Callithrix jacchus: one gene and its partners. The protein of the gene in region 1 purifies or fractionates together with the protein of each later gene. This does not show direct contact. Links are inferred from orthologs where the notes say so. Each region holds a gene or a part of one and is shown in the gene's direction. Other genes may lie near its edges.

The links.
Region 2: the proteins of SLC6A15 (region 1) and GOLGA5 purify together in Homo sapiens (co-immunoprecipitation; 3 studies listed by BioGRID and IntAct, counting the BioPlex papers as one, with this or other methods). This does not show direct contact. The link is inferred for Callithrix jacchus from reciprocal best matches to the Homo sapiens genes SLC6A15 and GOLGA5.
Region 3: the proteins of SLC6A15 (region 1) and GPAT3 purify together in Homo sapiens (co-immunoprecipitation; 3 studies listed by BioGRID and IntAct, counting the BioPlex papers as one, with this or other methods). This does not show direct contact. The link is inferred for Callithrix jacchus from reciprocal best matches to the Homo sapiens genes SLC6A15 and GPAT3.
Region 4: the proteins of SLC6A15 (region 1) and KLHL36 purify together in Homo sapiens (co-immunoprecipitation; 3 studies listed by BioGRID and IntAct, counting the BioPlex papers as one, with this or other methods). This does not show direct contact. The link is inferred for Callithrix jacchus from reciprocal best matches to the Homo sapiens genes SLC6A15 and KLHL36.

The regions. Positions count from the first base shown.
Region 1 is NC_133510.1:87,576,647-87,583,025, reverse strand, and holds part of SLC6A15 (sodium-dependent neutral amino acid transporter B(0)AT2), read left to right. Parts: intron 1-2,324; exon of another isoform or gene 2,325-2,478; intron 2,479-4,034; 5' UTR 4,035-4,218; coding exon 4,219-4,507; intron 4,508-6,379.
Region 2 is NC_133509.1:127,640,551-127,646,929, forward strand, and holds part of GOLGA5 (golgin subfamily A member 5), read left to right. Parts: intron 1-930; coding exon 931-1,161; intron 1,162-2,829; coding exon 2,830-3,049; intron 3,050-3,654; coding exon 3,655-3,778; intron 3,779-4,975; coding exon 4,976-5,179; intron 5,180-6,379. UniProt on the Homo sapiens protein: Involved in maintaining Golgi structure. Stimulates the formation of Golgi stacks and ribbons. Involved in intra-Golgi retrograde transport.
Region 3 is NC_133504.1:114,169,395-114,174,994, reverse strand, and holds the end of GPAT3 (glycerol-3-phosphate acyltransferase 3), read left to right. Parts: intron 1-2,405; coding exon 2,406-2,505; 3' UTR 2,506-3,631; downstream 3,632-5,600. UniProt on the Homo sapiens protein: Converts glycerol-3-phosphate to 1-acyl-sn-glycerol-3-phosphate (lysophosphatidic acid or LPA) by incorporating an acyl moiety at the sn-1 position of the glycerol backbone.
Region 4 is NC_133521.1:42,325,433-42,331,811, forward strand, and holds part of KLHL36 (kelch-like protein 36), read left to right. Parts: intron 1-1,040; coding exon 1,041-1,198; intron 1,199-2,840; coding exon 2,841-3,396; 3' UTR 3,397-6,379.

The DNA.
Region 1 (6,379 bases):
CCTTTGAAAACTGGCACAAGACAAGGATGCCCTCTCTCACCAATCCTATTCAACATAGTATTGGTTGTTCTGGCCAGGGTAATCAGACAAGGGAAAGAAATAAAGGATATCTAATTAGGAAAAGAGGAGGTCAAATTGTCTCTATTTGCAGATTACATGATTGTATATTTAGAAAACTCCATCATCTCAGCTCAAAATCTCAAGATGATGAGCAACTTCAGCAAAGTCTCAGGATACAAAATCAATGTGCAAAAATCACATTTTCAACTTAGATTTGTTCTCTGAAAGACAGATTGGCAAATGTTTTCAGTAAAGAGTTAGTAAACATGTTAGGCTTTAAGGTCCCTAACAATAACTCCATTGTTGTAGCGCAAAATCAGCTGCAGTAATATGTAAATCTATGGACATGGATATATGCCAATACAATTTTATTTACAAAATACAGATGGTGGGTTATATTTGGCTCAGGAGCAATATTGTTGTCTCCTGCTCTATTGTGCAGTTGAAGATAGGAGGCTTTTACCAAATAATGATGAGGACAAGTATTACAATTCTTCGGTGCAGATGAAGTGTAGTGGGTGATAGTTTGTTCCTCAGTTGATTCTCTGTCACAAGAATGAATGCTGCTAACTTGGCAGAGGCTGTGCTGTTACTTGAAACTGATTCTACTACTGCCCATATAACCTATCAAGCACTGATAATTTACCACTCTATCTCTCTTCCTGGACATTTCTGTTCACTTCTTCTATTCCCAGGTAGAGTATTTTCGGCAATTGTCAACCTCTCTTGCTATTATGTTTTTAGTCTGTGTTTATGGACTACATTTATAGACGAAGGTTTTTAGGCAGCGTTTTGGAATTTATAAAAATGTCTTAAACATTTGAAATTGATCTGGCTTCCAAATTGTTGTCGCTTTATTTAGTTTTAATCTCTTCAGAAACTAAATTTATTTATTTACTTTTGGCTCTGTGAAACGTGTGCCCAAGAAGTGAATTCTTATGTTCAATGAGTTCATGGTCTTGGGGTTAAACTACAAACAAAAATGAAAACATCTAATAGTGTAAAATACTTGTTTAGTTATATGATCTTACTCTTCAAATATTTTAGTTCATTCATTCATTTAACCAACAAGTTTAAACATTGATCATATGAAGGTAAGATAAACCAAGTCATTCTCAAGGCAATGACTTACTTTCTCCTAGACTTATATGTTACTGTGAACATTTTAATGTTAATTACAATACTTCCCCTGTATTCCTACAGCCACCCCAGACAGACCAAGAAGTGGGAGACAGTAAGAAAAATAAGACAATAAGAAAAGAAAGCTTATTTTATTTATAATATCGTTAAGTATTCATTATTTTCTTTGCTCGTATTAGAAAGGAGTTCTTAATGCATGCAAATGCCCATTTTAACTCCCTTTTTAATAAATATTATATAAAGTTTGGCTAGGGTTGTTATTATACAATATCTATAGTATATTTATATATATTCAAAGTATTTATAACATTGCACTTACAATTTGTCTACATTAGATGCTGATTTTTTCAAAACAGAAAATATGAACTTCAGGTAGTCTGATCAGAATTTTTAAGTGTAAACTTTGCCGAAGGATATCTTACGTAAATTGGTGAAGATTGGTGACTTGGTATGCAAAAAACATACAGTAGTAGCCAAAGGTATTACCTTTTATTTTGATATTTTTGTGTATTTTTTCTGCAAAGAATAGAAATGTATAGAAGTAATATAGTAGTTTCTTTAAAAGTTTGGGGGGAGATTCATGGTTAACACTATTTAAAAATTTTTTTCTTTATAAAATGTTGAGTGTTTTTACTATAATAATATCTCTAAGATTGGATATACTCCTTTTCTATCTGTATGGAAAAAGCAAATGGAAGAAGAAATCAATGTTTATTGTGGGAACTGAGTTAAGAGAGACATAGCTACCAGCTTTTACACAACTAATAAGTTGTAATGCTAGAACACAACTCCAAATTTGTCAGATGAAAATCCACGCTCTTATCTGTATGTCACTTGTTACTATGCCAACAAATTTTATCTTTAGTTTAATAAATGTAAACCTTTTTTTTCTGGATAATTCATGTCTTACAAATCACAATTTTTTATATATCAGGTTGTTTTCTTCCAGTGAATACTATCTAGAAAATTTACTTATTTCAGTTTTTCAATGGCTATATTTATTAACGTATTCAACTAATATTTATTGACTTGTGGGGAAAAATAATATAAATTAAACAGACACAACCCCAAATCTCCTGAATTATTTTCATATCAAAACCTTGTTGGTCTCTTTAGTCACTGTGATCGCTTCTCAGCCTTTTCACTAAGATCAAGTGTACTATCTGTTTTCATCAGTTTAAAATAATCACTGTGGGAAGTTTTTCACCTATTCTAGAGATGTGTCTATCACTGAAAATATTTTGGGAATGCATCTCTTTCACAATTTTCTAAACAGTTTTCTCTTAATTGTCGCCAAATCCTAAATGAGAAGTGTTTGCTCTTAGGGTATGTATTTTAATGTTAGAAACAACTAAACATCATCACAGCCTAAAGGCAACAAATTAGTTACATAGTAAGTTAAAAATTTTTCTTTCTATTGGGATATCCAATATTCTGTCTTTCTCACTAAGATTATAGATTGAAATATGAAAGCTGTTTTCTTTGACTTTTAATGTAAATCTAAAAGCAGTTCTCTTAAGAAATTCTATTTTGTTCCAGAAATAAAGGGCAGAGTTCTTGGGCTACCATTTCGGAAGCTTCCTGATCCAGCTTTGAAAACTCACATGTTTATTCACTTTTAACACAGACAGTGTCGCTGGTCTGTAGACATGTGTTGTATACTTACTTGGTCTGTGTCTGAGTGGGGAGAAGGATAGGAGATGTAACATACAAATAGGAAAAGGGAAAAAAAGTCCCAACGTGTTTGCAGTGTTTTTCTTGAGCTGTTAAGAGACTGATCACATACATAATGTACATTTTTACCATTTCTCATCTCATTTATACTTTTCCTTATGTTTAGGTATGACCTCACTCCATTTTATTCAACATTCCTGATCTTTTCTGTTGTAATGATGTTGGGTCATTTAATTTCTTCATTACGTATTGCTATTTGATATACCTTTCTTTCTATTAAATATAAGATCCTTAAAAACATGCTCTGTACATTTCATTGATTATTGTATCACATAAAGCCCAATCACAATAAATTCAAATGGATTGGGTGTGATGGCTTATGCAATATAATCCCAGCACTTTGGGAGGCCAAGGCAGGATCTAGCTTGAGCTTGTAAGTTCGAGACCTGCCTGGGCAACATAGTGAGACCTCATCTATACAAAAAAAAAAAAAAAAAAAAAGGAAAACTAAAATTAGCTGGGTGTGGTAGTACACACCTGTAGCTACTTGTGGGACTGAGGCAAGAGGATCTCTGGGTAAGGTACAGGCTGCAGTGAGTTCTGATTGTGCCATGGCACTCCAGCCCGGGTCACAGAGAGAGACCCTGTCTCCAAAATTAAAATAAACTAGATTAAATTTTGTAAAAAGAACAATTAATATCAAATGAGTAAATAATGAATATTTGAACAGAAGAGGTTGTATATAAAACAAATTTACAGAGTTGTTATGCAATTGGGTATACAATTCTACAAGGAACAAAATCAGGGATATATAGGAAAAGATCTATCTGCTTTAGTTGGGGAGGAAAATAGAAAGAATTAAGAAAAAGAGTCATAAAAGTTTAGTTACTAATGAACAGATATTCATTATGCATTGGAGTATATCTGAGAGTTTTGCAAGAAGGAGGAAGTTAGCTAAGAAGATTGTATTTGAAGCTCATATGTGCTTTGCAATTCTTATACTTACAAGAATATTAAGCTCTGAAAAGCTAAAGACAATTATATGTTTTATACTCTGTAGAAAGATTTTCTATAATAAAAATGAACAAAAAAGAATAATTTGGTATTTTAAATATTTTTCATAATCAAATACGGTCATATTTCAACTTATAATTTTACAGATACCTACAGAATATTGGACATACGGATTCAGAATCCATAAGGCTTTATCACCTGGAATCAAGGATTTATTTGGTACCTTCTTGGTCGTCATATCAAGTAACATTGTTTCAAAAAACAGAATTAACATATTTGCCATAAAGGAGTTTTTTGTTTTTTCTTTGATAATACTTCCTATACTTTCCAATGCCTAAAAACAGCAAGGTGGTAAAAAGAGAATTAGATGATGATGTTACTGAGTCTGTCAAAGACCTTCTTTCCAATGAAGACTCAGCTGAGGATGCTTTTAAGACAAGCGAATTAATTGTTGATGGCCAAGAAGAGAAAGATACAGATGTCGAAGAAGGATCTGAAGTCGAAGATGAAAGACCAGCTTGGAACAGTAAACTACAGTACATCCTGGCCCAAGTTGGATTTTCCGTAGGTTTAGGAAATGTGTGGCGATTTCCATACCTATGTCAGAAGAATGGGGGCGGTAAGTTATTTTTTTAAGTGATAAATTACTGTAGTAAACTGCAACTGGGTGTCTCAAATAGCTCCTATTATTGCTGTAGTCTCATTATTTTTGAAACTTTCAATTCCGTTGTAAAACTAGGGAAACTTCTTTGTGAGAAGTGAGCCCAGATATGTTTTTGGATTAGGTTTCCATAGGAGCAGATGGGCTTGCTGTGAATACTCAGGGATTCCTTAAGGGTAACACATTCTCAGATTCTTTCTCTGGAAGCTATAAACATCTCTGAATTACTGACTGGAACTTTTCTAACAAATATTGCATCATTTATGCCTGTCAGTTATTCCCTTTGAAGAATAACCTAAAGCTTCTGATAGATGACAATACTGGTGAAGGAAAACAGAGAATTTTCTCTCCATGATTTTTTACTTCTTAATTTTAAATTGCCTCACTCTTCAAAAAATAAAAAAGATATGTAATCAAGAATAATTATGATTGTCAAATGCTGATGAGAACATTTAGATCCCAGTAGAAAGAATATAAACAGATAATATAATGCTAGACATTCTTCATCCTTAGGCATTTTATATATTTCATTTCCAGTTCTATGATATTTTGGGACAATGTTCAGTTTCAAAGAAAATTTTAAAGAATTAGCAACTTTAATTTTAAACAAAATTATCTATAACATCATTGATATTCTTGCTATTAATATTTGCATTTGTGAATGTAATTATAAAGGCTTACTTAGCAAAAATTATCTTAGAAGTCTATGGAAAAAACTTTACAAAGGAGAAAATTGCTCATATATGATGATAGTTTTATAGTACACCAAAATCAAACTGAATTTAACTAACATTGGGTTAAAATGTTATTATCTATATATATGAGATATTATTTATGTCTATGTATATGCTGTTAAAATAAGTGTGGCTGAAAATGAGATATTCCATAAGTCATGCATTTCAGGGCACAAAGTATATAAATAATATTTTGGTATTTGATTCTAGTTTGTGATAGTTTTATTGACTGGATAAAAATATGGTTTATTTTTAATTTAGTTGTAATCTACAAACCCTACATCAAACAATATAATCCATGCATATGTAAATTTTTTGTTGGCCACTGAAACATGAAACACTAAGATGTTATGGTGACAAAATATGTTTAAGATATTTTTCATTTAATACAAACAGGCACAAAACAAAAGGTTTGGAAAAAGGTTTGCCCATTTGGCAAATCTGCTTGAGAGATAAAGATTGATAAATAGAGTCAGTGATGCACTATGCATCCCTATACTGAAAAGCTCCTTGGCTAGCTGGTAATGTCACATATGAATTATTTATCAAATCAGCTGTAAGCAACTATGTACTATCCTGCTTTTTGTTCTCACACATCATTCCATTTGCCAAGGCAAGCAGAAGATAAATTCTGGTTTTGAGACTTTTTGACCTTGTAAATTTTATTGGCCACACTGTTAAGAAGGATGGCTGATTTGGTTGAAAAGTCAGATTGACTTCCACTTAGTACAACTTCTATTTTGGTTGAGAATGCTAAAAGACTTTATATTTAGTAATTGGTTCTTAGCAAAAATGGCTCCTCCTTCTTATTTCCGTATGTTAAAAAAGTCAAAATATCTTTTCTAGTATTATTTATTTTCTTCAAAATGGAAATACGAGAAAGTAGTACTGTACATACTATAAAATACAAATTGATTTTTCATTTCAGAATGGTTATTATAGTACCAAAAATTGTACTCAACATACAGTATAGTATTGGGTCTTCTAGCTGTTGGAGGAATATCTTCTGACTAAGCAACCAGAAGATAGTCCTCGGCCTCAGGCTATAAAAATCGTATTCATGAATCATTTAAGCACTTTCTGAATAATAGAAAAA
Region 2 (6,379 bases), on another chromosome or scaffold:
CAAGTCTTTTACCCATGTATTTATTTTTTAGTCAGTTTTGTTATTTAGATAGTTCATTTTCATCACATAATAGAGTAATTTAAAAGTATACTTGCATTATATTTAATAACAAAAACAAGATTAATCTGAATTCATGAGTCTCTGTCTCTTTGGGTAAGACATTTTAGATTCCAGTTTGTTAAAACAAAATTAAAAAAAACATTGCAGTGACCTGTTATTACTCTTCTTGCCTTGAAACCTGCAGCTGTTCTGTTGTGCCTTCTCAATTTTTCAGTGTTTGGGACTTCTCCCAGTTATTTTTCCAAAAACATTATGGAGACAAAAGGAAATCCAGAATTATTTACCTGAACCTAACCATTCAAGTGATCTCTGGTGTTCTCCACAAAACTGTGTTGTACTCTCTGTTGCCATTCATTCAGTGTAAGGACCTCTTGACGATCCTCAGAGGTCCATATGCTCCATTTATGAGAATGAAATGTCATCAGAGGGAAGCTATTGAGAATTTACTTTTTTTTTTTTTTTGACACTGAGTCTTGCTCTGTCACCCAAGCTGGAGTGCTGTGGTGCAATCTTGGCTCACTGCAACAACTTTGGCCTCCCAGGTTCAAGCAATTCTCCTGCCTCAGACTCCCAAGTAGCTGGCACTACAGATTAGTGCCACCATGCCTGGCTAATTTTTGTATTTTTGGTAGAGATGGTGTTTCACCATGTTGGCTAGGCTGATCTCAAACTTCTGACCTCAGGTGATCTGCCTGCCTCGGCTTCCCAGAGCGCTGGGATGACAGGCATGAGCCACCATGCTGAGCTGAGAATTTGTTTACGTTTTATGGTATTTCAGCTATAGCAGTCAACTTGAGCATCCTACCAAAGCAAGTTATTAATGCATATGTGGTGAACATGCCAATGTAACAAAAACATGTTCTTTTTTAGCAGAAGCTGCCAATAACTCAGATTCTAGCCATGAAGGTCAAGAGGAACATTCAAAGGAAAATGCATCATCAAATGCTGCCTGCACTGAGCACACCCCAGCACCTAATGATGATGGCAAATCACATGAACTATCTAACCTTCGACTGGAGAATCAGCTGCTGAGGAATGAAGTTCAGTCTTTAAATCAAGAAATGGCCTCGTTACTTCAAAGATCCAAAGAAACTCAAGAAGGTAGAGGCTTATTTAAATTGTGCAGGATTAGGGAATTTAACTTTTAAAAAACTAAACTGTTAGCAGTGTTTACATTTAAACTGTGAGAAATTAGATGAGACTTGTAAAATGATATTTTCATAGAAATACAGGGCCCAGATTTGGAAATGGGATCAGTCATCCTCCCACCAACCCAAAACATAAGAGTATTGGCTTCTTTGGTTATTCTTTAAGAACCATGACATTTAAGAACTGAGAGGAATAAACAGTAGTAGTAGTCTAGTTCATTTACTTATTCTGAACTTTCAAGGGAAACTGTTCCATTGAACAAAATAGTAGGCACTAATAGGGTTGCAGTATTGCTGCTCTAGGGTGCATAAAATGTAGATGGAATTCAGTACAGTGCTCTTGAGAAATGTGCAGTGAGGTGGCCCTGGAGTAGAAAACCTCAGGTTCCTCAGAAATAGATAATTAAGAAGGAAATAATCTCATTACTGAGGTGGTGACTGAGAAAAGTGTAAATGTTATTGTGACTGTGGCTGAGAAGAAAACAAGTGACAAAATTGCTGCCTTGGTTTCTGGGGCTAATTAGAAAGGAGTTGGGGGAGGGTGGGAAAAGTTTTGCCAAGCCATGGATAGAAGCTCAGAAGAGCAGAATAGGTAGATAGTTTAAGACTCACTAGTCGGGCTGACTTTAGAAAAAGCTTTGCTTTACCCAGACTAATTTAGACATAGAAATAGAGCTGTTTGGCCAGGCACAGTGTCTCACGCCTGTAATCCCAGCACTTTGGAAGGCTGAGATTAGAAAGTTGCTTGAGGTCAGGAGTTCATTAACAGCATGGGCAACAGAGTGAGACCCCCTTGCTGCAAAAAACAAATTTTTTTTTTTAATTAGCTGAGTGTGCTGGTATGCACCTGTAGTCTGAGCTGCTTTGGAGACTGAGGTGGGCGGATTGCTTGAGCCCAGGAGTTGGAGGTTGTAGTGAGTCATGGGTCATGATCATGCCATTGCACTCCAGCCTAGGCAACAGAGTGAGGTGCGCTCGCTCGCCCCCCCCCCAAAAAGGTCTGTCTCACTGAAAAAAAAAAAAAATTGAGACCCTATAAAGTTTGATTCAATATTTTAAAAAAATTTTGGTGGCTAACTGCAATTACACATGGTATGTGAAAGTGTGGAAATGCCATTGGATTCTGAGATAAAGTACTACTTTTCTCTTTTTGCATTGATTTCCTAGGTCAAAAGAATAGCATCTTTTTGCAACGTAATTGAAAGAAGTAGATTCTTTTCTGTGTTTATCTTTAGGTTTTGTTTTGCTTGTTTTGTTCTTACTGGGATATACCTTTGATTTAGATTTGCATTCTTTCCCCTGTTACTAGCAGAACTTTCCAGAACATACTCTGCTATCTATTAATACTAGTTTTGGCTCCCAGATGCTTTATGATATATAAACAGCATTGTAGAAGAGCAGCTAGCTTCATGCCTCTTTATAATCTATTAACTGTAATCTAGGTGTGAATATTGGCTTTGAAAAATGGATGACCCACTGGGGCAAAGAAAATTGAAGATACATGTAAGCTCCTAACTTTGGCAGTAAGAAAAGTACTAATGGCACTCATAGTAGAAACTATATGTGCTCCAAGAAAAATGTGTTTGGTTTCCTTGTATAGAGAAATTTAAGTTTTTTACAGAATTAAACAAAGCAAGAGCAAGAGTTGAAAAGTGGAACACCGACCATTCAAAGAGTGATCGAATAACTCGAGAACTTCAAGCCCAAGTTGATGACCTGACTGAAGCTATGGCTGCAAAGGATTCCCAGCTGGCTGTACTGAAAGTGAGACTCCAGGAAGCTGACCAGCTGCTGAGTACTCGCACGGAAGCATTAGAAGCCTTACAGAGTGAAAAATCACGGTACGTGATTCTGTGAATAATGAAAAAAAAAATGAGATAGAATGATTCTGTGTTTCCACTGCAAGTAATGGTAAGCATTGTAATGTTTCCTCTTATAAAACTTAGCTTTCTTGGAAATTTGCAAGGGGGAATATTTCTTTTGGTAGTGTTAGAAATGTGTATGATCAAAATGGATTCATTGTTGAACCTTGAGATGCATTGTTAGCAAATTCTGAATTTAAATGCATTTGTATTGTCATTAATCTTATTTTATTTTATTTTTAATTTTTTTTTTTTTTTAAGAGATGGGGTTTCACCATGTTGGCCAGGCTGGTCTCAAGCTCCTGACTTAAGGCGATCTGCCCATCTTGGCCTCCCAAAGTGCTGGGATTACAGGCATGAGCCACCATGCGTGGCCATTTTTTATTATACTGTGTGTACGTATATTTGGGTGCCTAAAAATATAGATTACATTCCATTAGAAAGGAAAGATTTGTCTAAGAATGTTTCAGTCACATCATCTTTTTTGTGCTTGACTAATGAGGTAATGCTCTAAAAATTATTCTGCCTTATCACTTGTACACTGTAGACATGTTTTTTTTTCACGTGGATGCATTTTCCTTTAGAATAATACAGGATCAAAGTGAAGGTAATAACTTGCAGAATCAAGCTCTGCAAACTCTTCAGGAGAGACTGCATGAAGCCGATGCCACTCTGAAGAGAGAGCAGGAGAGCTATAAACAGATGCAGGTTAGAATGGGCGATAAGGGATTCCTATTGTTATTTGTACAAGGAAGAAATGACTTTATGCTGTTTCATAGCACATTAACTCCTTCATACAGTTCTGCAATACATGTCAGAAAATTTTGTTTCCATGACAAAAATCAGATATTTGAAAATTTAGCTTGATCCTTGCTAAGTTTATTTAATTTTATGTGTTGAGAGACAATTAAAATAGTTAATATGCATTAGAGATATACATCTTTCACTTAATTTTTGCAACAGTCATTGCCATTATTTGATTAAATGCTAATGGTTGGGGGACCGTATTTGGTTTTTATTAATTTAAGCTTTTTCTGATTCCAGATTAATCTGGCTCATTTATTTCAAGAGAAAATTATATGTAATATGTAAAGAGTTTTACTTTTAGATGAATTTTTGCATCTAGTTCAGTCTCAGCCCTGTCTACACATGGGAATCACCCGTGTGGTACTGCCTGGTCTTCATATGCAAATAGTCACATTCCATTGTATGAGGTAGGGCCTAGGTATTGGCACTTTGGTTTTACAAGATTCACAGGTGTCTCTAATGAGCAGTCAGGGTTGCAAACCACTGGTCTGGGCTAGCTTTTCAACAGGTGAAAGTAGTTCAGTCCTGACAGTAAATATCAGGTAGTGTGTGTTTCTTAATTTTAATGATGTATTTTATCTAACACAGTGTATCCAAAGTAGTTATCATTTCAACGTGTAGTCAAATGAAAAGTTGTTAATGAGATATTTTACATTATTTTTTTGGATACTGATTATTTAAAATGTGGTGTAATTTACACTTATTTATTTACTTATTAAATTGGAAGCAGTTGATCAGCTAGTATCAGAGCAGACCTAGTATCCAAGAGACCATATTCACCTGGGAAATTTCTTTTTTTTTTGAAATTTCTTAATAAACGGATTCCCAAGCCAATCTTGAATATTCCAATTTAGTAAGCTTGGGAAAGGCCTTGGATGGCTGTATTTTTAACAAACTTCCTACTTGATTTTGATGCATTGCCGTGTTTGGGAGCCACAACCTTAGATTTCCTATTCTTTAGCTCCTAACAAATTAAGAATTTTTTCCCCTCCCTATTATGTTGTTGGGCTTAGCTGATAAATGCCTTAAGATATCTGAATGTATGGTTGTAAAATATGTTTCAAAGCTCAATGATTACAATATAAAAATTTGTCACAGAGTGAGTTTGCTGCGCGCCTTAATAAAGTGGAAGTGGAACGTCAGAATTTAGCAGAAGCAATTACGCTGGCAGAAAGAAAATATTCAGATGAGAAGAAGAGAGTTGAGGAACTGCAGCAGCAAGTCAAGCTATATAAGTTGAACTTGGAGTCCTCTAAGCAGGAATTAATTGACTACAAGCAAAAAGCTACTAGAATACTCCAAGTAAGCATGAAATGGACACTTTGGATGTTCAGATGTGCGCGTTAACTGAAAGACACTTTGAGACCTGTAGTTACTGTGTGAGATGCTTTGTTCATGTTTGGCTGGTTGGCTACCTTTAGGTGTCTTGCTCTACTTTAGAAATTTGATTAAAAGGATGCAGTCTATCTTGTTCCTACCAATTCTTTTTTAAAAAATTCCTTCTCCCCCTGTCAAGTTCAGGGCTTCAACCTGGCACCATACTCACTGTGATGATATTAGCGCTTGTTGTTGGGCAGCTGTTTATTCTTCCTTGTTAAGCTCCTATGGAATTTTTGCAGCAACTGCTTTAGGACTCATCCTGTTCTCAGAATTGCCTCATCCAGCTTTTTTTGCCTCCAGATCTAAGGCGAGCTTACCCTTTACTTAGAAAGCCTGCAGTCATCTAATGTCATTTTCAGGTTCTCTTTCCTTTGTCCCTCATTTCAGAGGGAAAACATGACCTTTCATTTTGTTTCTAGGACCATTTTCCTGGCTGTGCACTGATTCTATCTCCTCCCACCTCATGTAAGCCCTTTCTTGGTTTATCTATTCCCTTGCTTCCTGTGTGTGCCTCTCTCTCTGCTGCTGCCACCTTCTGGCTCAGCTTATTCAAGAGCACATGGTTACTTAGTGGAAAAATGAAGGCTAGATCTCACACTCCTAAGAGAAAAAGTCTCTTTTAGCTTTGTGCCCACTTTGCACAGACTTACCGGAATTGTTGTACATATGCCGTCTTCATTTCTGTAGACCTTGTTAACTTTATCTCCTTCTTTTCCTACTACATGTCTGAAATTTCTTCTCAAAAGTATTTGATGACCTCAATAAATATTCTCTGTCCTTTTCTTAGTCTCTATACCTTTTATTTTGGTAGAACATTTGGCTCCGTTAATCCTCCCACTTTCTTGGAACTCCTGCCTTCTATGCTGTTCACATCTTCTTGGCTCTCTTTTTGTCCTCTTCTACTGCTGTTTCTGTCTCCCTTAGGCCCTCTTCCCAATCTCCGAAGAGTCAGAGTCCTCCTAAGCTCTGTCATGAACCCTCTTTCATTGCCTTTTCTTACCCTGCATTGCCATATGCTCACTCTGCTTCTGAGAGCCACCTGCATATGACTTCAACCATGTTTCCAACCCTGACCTCCTGACTTCAACATCCTACCGTGCAGGCATAGGGTATTCAGCTCCC
Region 3 (5,600 bases), on another chromosome or scaffold:
CTAGCCTTAAGGTATAGGTTAAGACTAAACATTTGTATCACACTATCTACACTGGAATATATTAAACAAAATGACAGACATCATAACATCATAAAACTATATAAAACTACCTTGGTCCACAAATGTCCTAGCAACCTACAGTTTTAAGTGCAATGGGTTCCTTTTCCTTATTCATTTTTCAAAAACTCTTTACTCACCCTTTATCTTACCTGACACCCAGATTTCCTGCTCCTACTCTGAAGTCAGTGTCTGTAGTCTCAGACACAGAGGAAGGGAAAAAAGCTTTGAGAGACAAAAAACCTAGAGGAGTCAGCCAAGTACAGACTTTCCATCAGATTGGCTGAATAAAATGATCCTCAGAATTGCCACTTTCCTTTTATCAGGCCATAAGCAATTGTACAATAAAAATCACTTTTAATTACCTAGCCTCTTAAAAAAAAAAGAAAGTGGCCTCATGGCCCTTCTAGATATATTTGTCATGTACTTATTGGATATGAATTAACATATCTAGATTGCTTTTTTCATAGATTGAGCGAAAATATAATTTTATGATCTTAAGCTGGCTCTTATATATGGTTACTGCCTTCCTTAAGAACTAAGATCTACTGCCATTGCAAAGGGGAGTTGGGTAAAACTTTCAAGTCTCTAGGGGTAGCAAGTCACAGTTTAGGTGATTAGCACAGCATGAGGTTTACTGGGTGCTTGGGAACTGTACAAACTGTACAAAAATGTAAAAAAAAAGTTTAAAAATGGTGTCAGATCGCTCAAGACTTAAATTTTTGCCTGTTTTGGGCTTGGATCTCGTGAAAGGAGAAAAGCCTTTCTTATCTCTCCCTCCTTTCCTTAGTTCTCACTGTTCAGAATTCAGGTAAGTGCTGTTAATAGAAGAAGCTCATTTGGATAAAAGAGGCTTATGTGGACAATTCTGTGGACCTAACAACAATTTATAATCTTGTTTCTTGAAAACCTTCCACAACTGACCCCCTGGATTATCTGTGGATCACAGTCCATTTTTAAGTTGAGGACTGATTGCTGTGTCTCAGATTTGACTCTAGAAGCCAGAACATTGCAGTGGTCTCAGGCAGGTGTCTCTATGGAGGTCAAGTTCTGTCCTCATGTCATTGAGTTCACTGGCTAACCTATGATCATCCATCATCATCAGAAAGCATTTGGTAAACATGCATGCTTGACTGGGTTAAAATTAAACAGTCACAGTATAAAGTAAGCAAGTTCTCAGCTCATGCTCTCCTTGGAGTTAAAATCTAAAACATTAGATTAATAGGCAGATAGTGACCTCTGATAGTCCAGTCTACTCCCAGCAACTCCAGTTTGTTATTTCTTGGGGTGTAATCCAAAGAAGGAAAAGCATACAGAGTTCTTATACCCAGGCAGGCATGTGTTTTCCTACTCTGGAGAGAGTTCAAAGATATACAGGCTCTGAATGAAGGAATACTGCTTACATAGGCACGCACTTCTCATTGAATGCAATTTATGATTTTGTTGTTTGTTTTATTCTGAGTCTGTTTATGGAATATAAAAGATTATAGATACTGGAAATATGTTTTGAATGAAAATACAACTTGTTAAACATAGATAAGGTTAGATTAGAAAAATGATTTTTTAAAAATGATTATTTATCTTTAAGAAATTTACCCACACATATACAGTACCCTTACCATTTCTTCTGCATATATTTTCAGTTTTCCTATGGTTTTCCAGTAAGACATAGGTAGATAAATACCAGTATTTTGTTTTCCTGAGGGAACAAAATAGAGAAATAATCCATTTTAATAATCTTTGTTTCAATCCAAATATATACATATATATTTTTTGAGATGGAGTTTCACTGTTGTTGCCCAGGCTGTAGTGCAATGACGTGGTTTTGGCTCATTGTAACTTCTGCCTCCCAGGTTCAAGCAATTCTCCTGCCTCAGCCTCCCAAGTAGCTGGGATTACAAGCATGTGCCACTATGCCCAGCTAATTCTGTATTTTTAGTAGAGATGAGGTTTCACCATATTGGCCAGGCTGGTCTTGAACTCCTGATCTCAGGCAATTCACCCACCTTGGCCTCCCAAAGTGCTAGGATTACAGATGTGAGCCACTGCGCCTGGCCAATCCAAATATTTAATACAGCACCCCTTAACTTCTGAAGAGAAACTGAGTTGGAGATATTGTTACTTATTTTAACCAAACATCAGAGAGATTGTTCCTTTAATGTACGTTTAGCAAGTGGTAGGGCAGAGACTGAAACCTGGGTCTTCCTGTTTCCAAATCCAGTATTCTTTCTCTTATTTCATCCCAGCTGCTTCAGTGTCATGGCATCATGCTGCATGTGACTATTAGGTTAACTCTTTGAAATCACCGCTGTAAAGTATCTTTTATGTATTTGTCTTTCTGTTTGCAGGGATGGAGGGCTAAAGAGAGCAAAGGTGAAGGACACCTTCAAGGAAGAGCAGCAGAAAAATTATAGCAAGATGATTGTGGGCAATGGATCTCTCAACTGAGTGGACGGATGACAGCCTGTAGATATACCTGGCTTTCTAGAACTAGCCGTTAGAAATGGAATGGCTTTATTTTTTTGTTTTGTTTTATTGTTTTGTTTTTATTATTGTTAATCTTTTCTACAGAATGATTGTCTCTACCTCTTTATGCCAGAGGCAGAACCTACAGGTGCCCTTTTTGACTTTTGTTATTGTTATAACATTAGCCCCATGGATTATAAGGTGGTTTACTGAGTTAAAACAGATTCTGCTTTTATAAAATCATAGCGTCACTGTTGACTGAATGAAATATTTGTACAGGAAAAAGTGTGTGTAAGGTGTGTTTGGAACTCATCGATAGGGTAATTCTCAAAAAATGCCCAAACTTTCTTTCTCTACTTAGCCTTGCCACTTTCCTCAGTCACTTAACTGGTGAGATTACACATCAGTGCAAGATGACCATTATGGTTATGGTCTACTTACTGTCAGGCAGAAAGGAAAAATGGAGGATTATATTTAGGAAAAGGGATAACTCTGTGGCCACCTGCTCCGAAAGTCAAAAGGAAGTGTAAATTAGTGTTATAAGCGTGTTGGAAGAGAATACTATTCAGTAAGCGTTGCCAAAGAAAAGTGAGTCAAAATTAATGTGTGTGTGCATTTATATGTAGGCAGCTCATAGACACATTTTAGCCAGCAACTGACAACAAAGCGCTTACTTTTCCTCGTTTGAATGCTGTAGATCTGTACCTAGTTCTCTCCCATATACTGATTTGTTTGTTTTTGTAACCAAACACATTTTCAGATAGAAAGAGCCTTAAAAAAAAAATCACATCGAGTATCTTAAGTATGAATGAATGAGAGTGTGTGGAGCTGCCCCTCACCCTCCACCCGTTTGTGGTTTATTCCCAAATTTTCCCAGTCTCTTCAACAGAAAAAATGACTGATGTTATAATTACCTTTTGGAAACTGAGCCTTAATTTTTTTTTTTAGAGGGGGAAATAAGTTTTTCCCAACTCACACAGCATAAGCAATGTTTGACAGCAATATGATGCCGCTGTAAACTCCTGAGAGTATTATATCTGTTCTGGTAACTGTATACAGAACGTGAAACTGTCTTCTTGTGACTGTAAATAAATTCTATATTTCTAAAGGCATGTTGCATTATTTCCCCCCTCCCTCCTCCCTTTTCTGGTTTTGAGTAAGTTAAATTCATTCTTATTACAGACAGGGGTTGTTTGATTTTCATTTCAGTGGCATAGTTAGATTTTATTGGACTGGAACAAATGGGAAACAAGAACATGAGCCATGGACTCCCCTACCTCCCCCTGCTTAAATCTTGTTTTTTTAGCCGAGTTATTTGGACTCTGGCCCTGTGAACTCCACCTTGAGCAAAGTCACAGACTACAGTTATTTTGCAGGTGAATTCAAGCAATTATATCTAACTATCTAGGTAGGCCTGGCATAGCACTATCAGTGTATACTCTTCTTATCTAGCTAGCTAGTTGGATTTCATTCCAAAAGGAAACTTGCAAACAGGTTACTCTCCTGGTCATTCACCCCTCTGTTCTCACTCTCCTCACTTTCCCTTTGTTGTTTGTTTAAATTTTGCCCCACAAACTCTTATTTGGAGTGATCTTGACTGAAATTTAGCAAATCCAAATATGTATGTTGGGTGACTTTTTGTCTTATTTATTTTTCTCAGAAAAAGGAGGGCCTTTAAAAAAATTTTTTTAAATGTTAATTGTGGCTTGAACTAATAAATCTATTTCATTAGCCCAGTTCTCAGAAAAGTGTATCTTTCCAAGAGCACTGTAAAAATGCCAGTGCCTGGGCCTTGCTCTGATTTGGTCTTCAGCAGTGTGCAGGCCCGCTCTGCCCCGCTGGCCTCAGCCTTTCTCTTTCATCATTGTTCACCTCACCTTCATCCACCTTCTTCCCTTGTCCCCGAACCTAAAAAAACCAAAAAACAAACACAGAATGCTATCATGTATTCGCTAGATAACCTAATAGTGTCTCAGTCAGAGCTTTTCTCTCGTAGGTCTGAATCACACAAGTAGTTTCCAGGTTGCTTAAGGAACTGCCATGTTGTTGAAGCCATGTTTTTGGGAAGCTGTTATTGCTCAGATTTAGCATATGCTCCTTAGAACTCCTTTTACGTTTGCTTTCCCTAATATTATTCTATACCCACTTCAGAGATATTGTGTCCAGAATTTAGTATTCCTGAGTCTTCCGTAATTATAAGGCAATATGAAGGGAAGGCAGAATTTGGTAGAAAAATCTCATTGGGTAAGTAAGAACTTTCATCTAACCCTTGCATATGTTCATGAATTGAGCCTTGAGGTTGCCCTGTTTTTATTTCAATTGTTTGTTATGCGGTCATATTTATAGACAGCAGCTTCTAGGAATGCCAAGGGTTTCTAAAATACCATGCCACATACTGAGATTGGATGAGCAGCCATGTGTGAAACAGTAAATATACTCAGAGCGCAGGGGAAATAGTTTCGGGTGCCACTCTGGGGCAAAGAACAGTCTCAGCGGAAGTTTCCTTGTGTCAACAGACTTTCCAAGGTGTAGTTACCTTTGTCTTGGTGATTTGCATGATCTCAGTGCATATGTTGCAGTTTGCACATTCTGTTGATATTTTAACTTACATGATAAGGATTGTTGATTTCTCGTGATTACAAATAATGCATTGTAGTCATGAGGACTGCCTCTTGGTCAAAGCTTCTCTCAGGTTTTTTTTTTTTTTTCCTTAAATGTGGCTTCATGATAGAAAAGGGTAGATTATGATGGGAGGATAGGCCAGGGGTGGAGGTGGAGTGGAGGGAAGTGGGGAAGGGTGTTGTGGGGAGGAGGATGGGGGCAAGGCTGGGATCTGGGATTGATACTGCTAGGGGCCCTAATAAGTATCTTCACAAAAGCTGTGTGTTTGCTTTTGTTTTTTAACACCTGTTTCTAGTGGATTGATACAACATATGATTTAAAAAAAAATAATGGTTAAGTTAATGGGATAGAGAGTCATGAAACATTTTCTTTTTTTTTTTCTTTCTTTCTTTTTTTTTTTTTTTGAGATAAAGTCTCACTCTGTTGTCCAGGCTGGAGTGCAATGGCACAATCTC
Region 4 (6,379 bases), on another chromosome or scaffold:
ACTCGGGAGGCTGAGTCAGGAGTGGAGGTTGCACTGAGCCAAGATCAGGCCACTGCACTCTAGCCAGGGCGACTGTGGGAGACTCTATCTCTAACTAAAAAGTAAAAATTTAAAAATTTTTAAAAAATAAAAAAAATAGCTGGGCATAGTGCACACCTGTAATCCCAGCTACTCAGGAGCCTGAGGCAGGAGAGTTGCTTGAACTTGCAGTGAGCCGAGACTGTGCCACCCTATGCCACACTCCAGCCTGGGAGACAGCGAGACTCAGTCTCAAAAAAATAAAAAAGTTGACTCTTCTACTTTCTTTTTCTTTTTTCTTTCTTTCTTTTTTTTTTGAGACCCGGTTGTTCCGTTGCACAGGCTGGAGTGCAGTGGCACAATCTCAGCTTACTGCAGCCTCCACCTCCCAGCTTCAGACAATTCTGGTATCTCGACCTCCCGAGTAGCTGAGATTACAGGTGCCCACCTAGCTAATTTTTGTATTTTTAGTAGAGACGGGGTTTCACCATGTTGTCCAGGCTGGCCTCAAACTCCTGACCTATAAGATCCGCTCACCTTACCCTCCCGAAGTGCTGGGATTACAGGTGTGAGCCACCGTGCCTGGCCTCTTCTGTTTAATCTCCTGTGGAATGCCATGTCCTGCTCTGCTTTGGCGGTCAGGACTAATTTTAAAAATCTGATTCAGGAAGCGAAGGATGAATTTTTATTTCAGAAAACCACTAGATCAGCCGTTCTGAACCCCGTGACCCACAGAGTTCCCATCCACAAGGCGGATCACGTGACCAGACAAGTTTTGGAGATCCAGAGCATCTCCATCCCCCTTTTAGATTCAGGGTGTCTCAGGGCAACCTCAGGGGCTCAGAGGGGCCACCTGAAAAAGGCCTTTTCTTCAGGTGCATTTCCCTTTGCCAAACTCACCTGGCTGCCATCTCACCCTCCGGGGCTGTGTGTTCCGCAGACACATTTGGGAAATGCAGCTCCAGATGTTGATGCTGTTTTGTGTTCGGGGAAGGGAAGGTACAGGTGTCTCACTTCCACAGGTGGCCTTCATGAACCAGCGCCGCGTGGATTTCTACCTTGCCTCCATCGAAGACATGCTTGTGGCCGTCGGTGGCCGGAATGAGAACGGAGCACTGTCTTCAGTAGAGACGTACAGTCCCAAGACTGACTCCTGGTCCTATGTGGCCGGCTTGCCAAGGTGATCTGGGGCTTGGGGGAAGGCTCTCCAAGCGGGATGGTTTTAGGGACATAGTTCAGTCCACGTGCCTCACATTCTGGGCAGGTTGGCCTCCAGTTCCAGGAAAGAAATCTTCCAGCTTGTGGGTAGCAGCAGGTACATGAGGAGGGGCAGAGGGCATGGTGGTGCGCAGTCCAGGCTCCGGTTTCAGACTCAGGGCAAGGGTCAGCTCTGCCACCACGACAGACATGCATTTCTCCGTGGCCTGAGTCTGTACCTTCACCGACTTTCAGAGGGTGAGGGACTGACCTGAGGATCTCCCTGAGGTTGCCCAGGAGGAACTCAAAGAGATGGCGGTATCTGTGCTAGGTCTGAAATGCAAGCGTGGGTCTTCAGTTCCTCATCTGTAGAGCGAGGTGATCATCGTGCCCGCTTCGCAGCACTGCCGTGCAGAGCAGATGCGGTGCCGCTGGTGAACCTGCACCCACATGCAGGGAGTGCCCCAGGGCGACCCTCGCCCTCCCAGTCTCCCTTGGTCCAGATGTGCACGTATCGAGCATTTGTTATTGTCGTGGGATTAGCAAAAGCTGCACACCATTTTTCCCACCAGCTCCCTGTTGCCGTACCCAGCAGCGGGCTTTTTGAACCAGTCTTTGCTGTGGAATACATCCCAAGAGGTAGAGGTGTGCGGGGTAAGCGCTCACGTTTTTGTTTTTCTATTTTTTGAGATGGAGTCTCACTCTGTCATCCAGGCCAGAATGCAGTGGCACGATCTCTGCTCACTGCAGTCTCCGCCTTTCAGGCTCAAGCCATTCTCCTGCCTCTGCCTCTCGAGTAGCTGGGCCTACAGGTGCACACGACCATGCCCAGCTAATTTTTGTATTTTTAGTAGAGACGGGGTTTCACCATGTTTGTCAGGCTGGTCTCAAACTCCTGACCTCAAGTGATCTGCCCACCTTGGCCTCCTAAAGTGCTGGGATGACGGGCGTGAGCCCCTGCATCTGGCCTTATTGATCCATTCTTACTCACTGGTTTGCATGATGGTTCCCACTTCCTGGCACAGTTTTGTGGGTTTTGAGGAACGCAGAGCAACATGAATCCACCATTATACCATCATGGAGAATCATTTCACTGCCCTAAACGCCCCCCGTGCAATCCGCATCCAAGCCTACCTTCCCTCTCCCCACAGCCCCTGGCAGCCACTGATTTTGCTGTCTCTATGGTTTAGGCGAAACTTTTCCCGAGCGCCAGCACAGTTAGAATTATGCCGTATGTCAGATTCCCTCTCTGATGTGTGATTCATCGGGTGCCTGTGGGCCTGCTAGCACGTTGTCCTCATCATTTCCAGCCATTGTGAAGTGGGTGGTGGTCCTGTGACTATCCCCATTTCCCAGATGGGGTGAGGGAGACTCAGAGAGGGTGGAGCTGGGTTCTGGCCCAGGTGGCCTGACTGCAAAGCTGTCTCCTTCCCTGCCCTTACCTGCCATTTCTTGGCTAATGACAGCTGCTGTCTAGGAAGTATTCATGGGGTACCCACTCCCAGTATTCTTAAATTCTCATGGCCCCCTAAGATGGCAGGCCGTTCCCAGGCTCAGGGAGGGTAAGCCTGGCACAGCCCTGAGCTCTCCCTCTCTCTCTCTCTCTGTGCCCATCGACTCTCCAGGTTCACATACGGCCACGCAGGCACCATCTACAAAGACTTTGTGTACATCTCAGGGGGCCACGACTACCAAATCGGCCCCTACCGCAAGAACCTGCTGTGCTACGACCACCGGACGGACGTGTGGGAGGAGCGGCGGCCCATGACCACGGCACGTGGCTGGCACAGCATGTGCAGCCTGGGCGACAGCATCTATTCCATCGGGGGCAGTGACGACAACATCGAGTCCATGGAACGCTTCGACGTGCTGGGCGTGGAGGCCTACAGCCCGCAGTGCAACCAGTGGACCCGCGTGGCACCGCTGCTGCACGCCAACAGCGAGTCGGGCGTGGCAGTGTGGGAGGGCCGCATCTACATCCTGGGCGGCTACAGCTGGGAGAACACTGCCTTCTCCAAGACCGTGCAGGTGTACGACCGCGAGGCTGACAAGTGGAGCAGGGGCGTCGACCTGCCCAAGGCCATCGCCGGCGGATCCGCCTGTGTCTGCGCCCTAGAGCCGCGGCCGGAGGACAAGAAGAAAAAAGGCAAAGGCAAGAGGCCCCAGGATCGGGGCCAGTGACCCCGTCGTCACCTCCCAGGCCCCTGTAGACCAGCAGCGACTTCTTAGAATTCCGGAAACATTACGTACAACTTAGCAGCTTTTTTTACTTTTATGATTCTTGGTATTTCTATGATATCACAGTAACCAATTAAATACTATCTATAACTTCACATAATCTTGCTCGAATAACTAACCCTGGGCCCAGGCAGTGAGTAACCCCCTTGTACCTTTGCAGGTCTTTGTCCCATGTTGCCATTCCTCGTTGGGTCCTTGCTCACCGTCCCCCTGAGAGTAGCTGGCACTTGGGTTACTCAGAATTTTTTGTAGTGAAGCTTGCGGCCTCAAAGGGCTATATATCTTAGATCACCTAGTCCAAGCCTCCCCAGACCTGGCTCAGCTTTTAAGAATACTGATTCCTGAGCCCCCTCAGAATTATGGAATCCAGAACCACGAGGAGCAGGGATGGGCCGTTAAAATACAGCCCAGAAACTGTATTTTAACTGGTTCTTGGAATTCTGGGCATCAGCCACATCTGGGAATCACCAGCAAAGTCAGGTGTGTTTGTTTTATGAGTGAGAGCACAGAGACTCCCAGGAGCGTGGGTGGGTGGGTGGGTGAGGGAGTGAGTCAGTGACGGGGGCCACGCAGCTCCCTGGACCGTCACGTGAGCTGTGGCAACTTCCCAGCAGGGCGCCATTCTCCATAGCAGGTGAACGTTGCTTCTGAATAATTCCAGCTTTCCTCATTGGAAACCTTGAATTCTAAAAGGTTACAGGCAACCAAGAGTGAAAATAGGTGTGAAGCTCTTTATAAATGTTACTCTGTAATTGGTGCATTCTTTTCCTTTGGCTTTCTTTCTTTCTTTTTTTCTGATCTCACTATCTTGTATTACTGATGTACTCAGCTCCCCAAATCTGTTTATTTCTCAGCAAAGAAAAAGTGATCGCTACAGAATTTGTGATTGTTCTCTGACTTTATCTTGAGGCACTGTGTGGACCCCTGAGAAGGCAGTGGAGGTCTCCCCCCAACTCCCACGCCAGGTCTCGCCCCAGTTTTCTGCTGCTAAGTAGTTTCACGCTGCTGGGCAAATTCTTGAAAAAATAGACCTGTTTCCTCGTTCATCCCCCTTGGCCACAGGGTTAGATGAAATACCCTCCAGGCTCCTCAGGGCGTCAGGGCTCCTCGACTCTGAGCTGTTCATACCCTGATGGCGTCCCTTTTAGGGTGCACTGACTCCTAGAGCTAGTATCTGTGTCGCTTGCCCTTTAGGAGGGCTCTGGGCTGCCCGAGCGGATGAGAAATGCGCAGAACTGTGGGAGGTTAGGAGTGTGGTGCGTTTTAAGCATGGGCCAAGGAAGGCGTGAATCAGCTGAAGGCAGAGATCAGAAAACCTCAGGATGTGCTTCATCTTCATTCCCAGTCTAACACGTCTTCCTGCAGACAGCTCTGGGAGCAGGTATCAATGTCTCTTGCCCTTTAAGAGTGCTTTCAGCTGGCCAAGTGGATGAGGATCAAGTGTTCAGATTGATACTAGACAAGGAAAAACGTTAACATTTATTTCCGTTTCTTCTGCTTCTTTACTGCACCCGCTTTCCCGTCTCTACAGGGTTTACTGTGTTTCCATTGGTCTGTTTCTGTAGCCTTACAGGAGAGATGAGAGCATTTGGGGGACCGAAAGCTTCGATAGCCAAGTGCCTGCCCTCCGTTGCGAGTGAGGTGAGCAGTCTGCATATTTTGCTAGCTAGTCATTTGCATGTGACGTCCCTGGAGGCGCACAGACTATTGAGAGGTTCTGCAAGGCGTACAAACAAAGCCAAAAGCTGTGAGCTCTGGAGCTCTGCAGCGCTGCTGTGTGAAAGGCTCTGAGAAGTCCTGCATTCATTTACCCTTCCATTAACCCAGCATTGCCAAACTTCTTGGAGCCTGAAACTCTTTTTTGTCTCATATCTAGTCCCAGGCCCCCACAAAACATGTTTTGCAGAACTGCCAACTGTGGGATAGCCCACCTCCTTCCTATTCTGGAAAGGTTTTACTGCTTGAAGTCCCTCAGAAGGCAGGGGAGTGGTGCACACAGTCTCCTCCCCCGCTCAGCCTAGGTTATGAACAAATGGGTGGTGGTTTGACCTGAATCTCGGGCCGCTGGGGAAAGCACATAGAAAGACTCCGTGAGTGATTTGAGGAGAGGATAGCTTTGATCCTGGGGAGCGGAGAGCCGCTGGTTTTTAGCCTAAGCCAGCTCTTCTGTGTTTTGCTTCTGGGACTTGTCCCTGGAGATGTGTGAACTGCTGGCTCCCATTCTGATTCTCTTGTGCCTCATGGGTTACATGTGACATCCTGTGCCTAAAATTTTATGGTCTCTCCTGAGACTGTTAAGGGGGTTTATAATTTACATGGCCTGGAATCTAATATGAATAGGGCTGGGAGCGCTCCTTAGGAGAATAAACCAGTTTCGTCTTGTGGGCCAACTTTCAATATTTGTTGGTGACTACACTGTAACAAGAAAGGTTTTTGAGCTTGTTGGGGTCAATAGATGGGCACAAGAGTGCCACGTGTACCTGGGGCAGGGTTTTGTTACTTGTGTTTGTAAGTTGAAAAGTCACTCTGCTGTGCAGTCTAACTGAAAATGGACGAGACCACGCTTGGGCAGCATGGCAAAATCCCATCTCCACAAAAAAATATATATATAAAAGGTTAGCCAGGGATGGCGGGACATGCGGCAGTCCCAGCTACTTGGGAGACTGACGGGGGAGGATCACCTGAGCCTGGGAGGTTGAGGCTGCAGTGAGCCACGTCATACCACTGCACTCCAACCTGGGTGACAAAGTGAGACCCTGTCTCAAAAAAATAAAACGGTGCTTAACTCCGACGGGCAGAGTTTGGGCTGTACCTATGCAGGGGCCATTTGAACTGCACAGTCACGATAGCAGGCCTTCAAACCAGAGTGACGAAGGCACAGGCTCCTGCAGGCTACCATTTGTAGATGGGAAGAGCCACGCGTGTC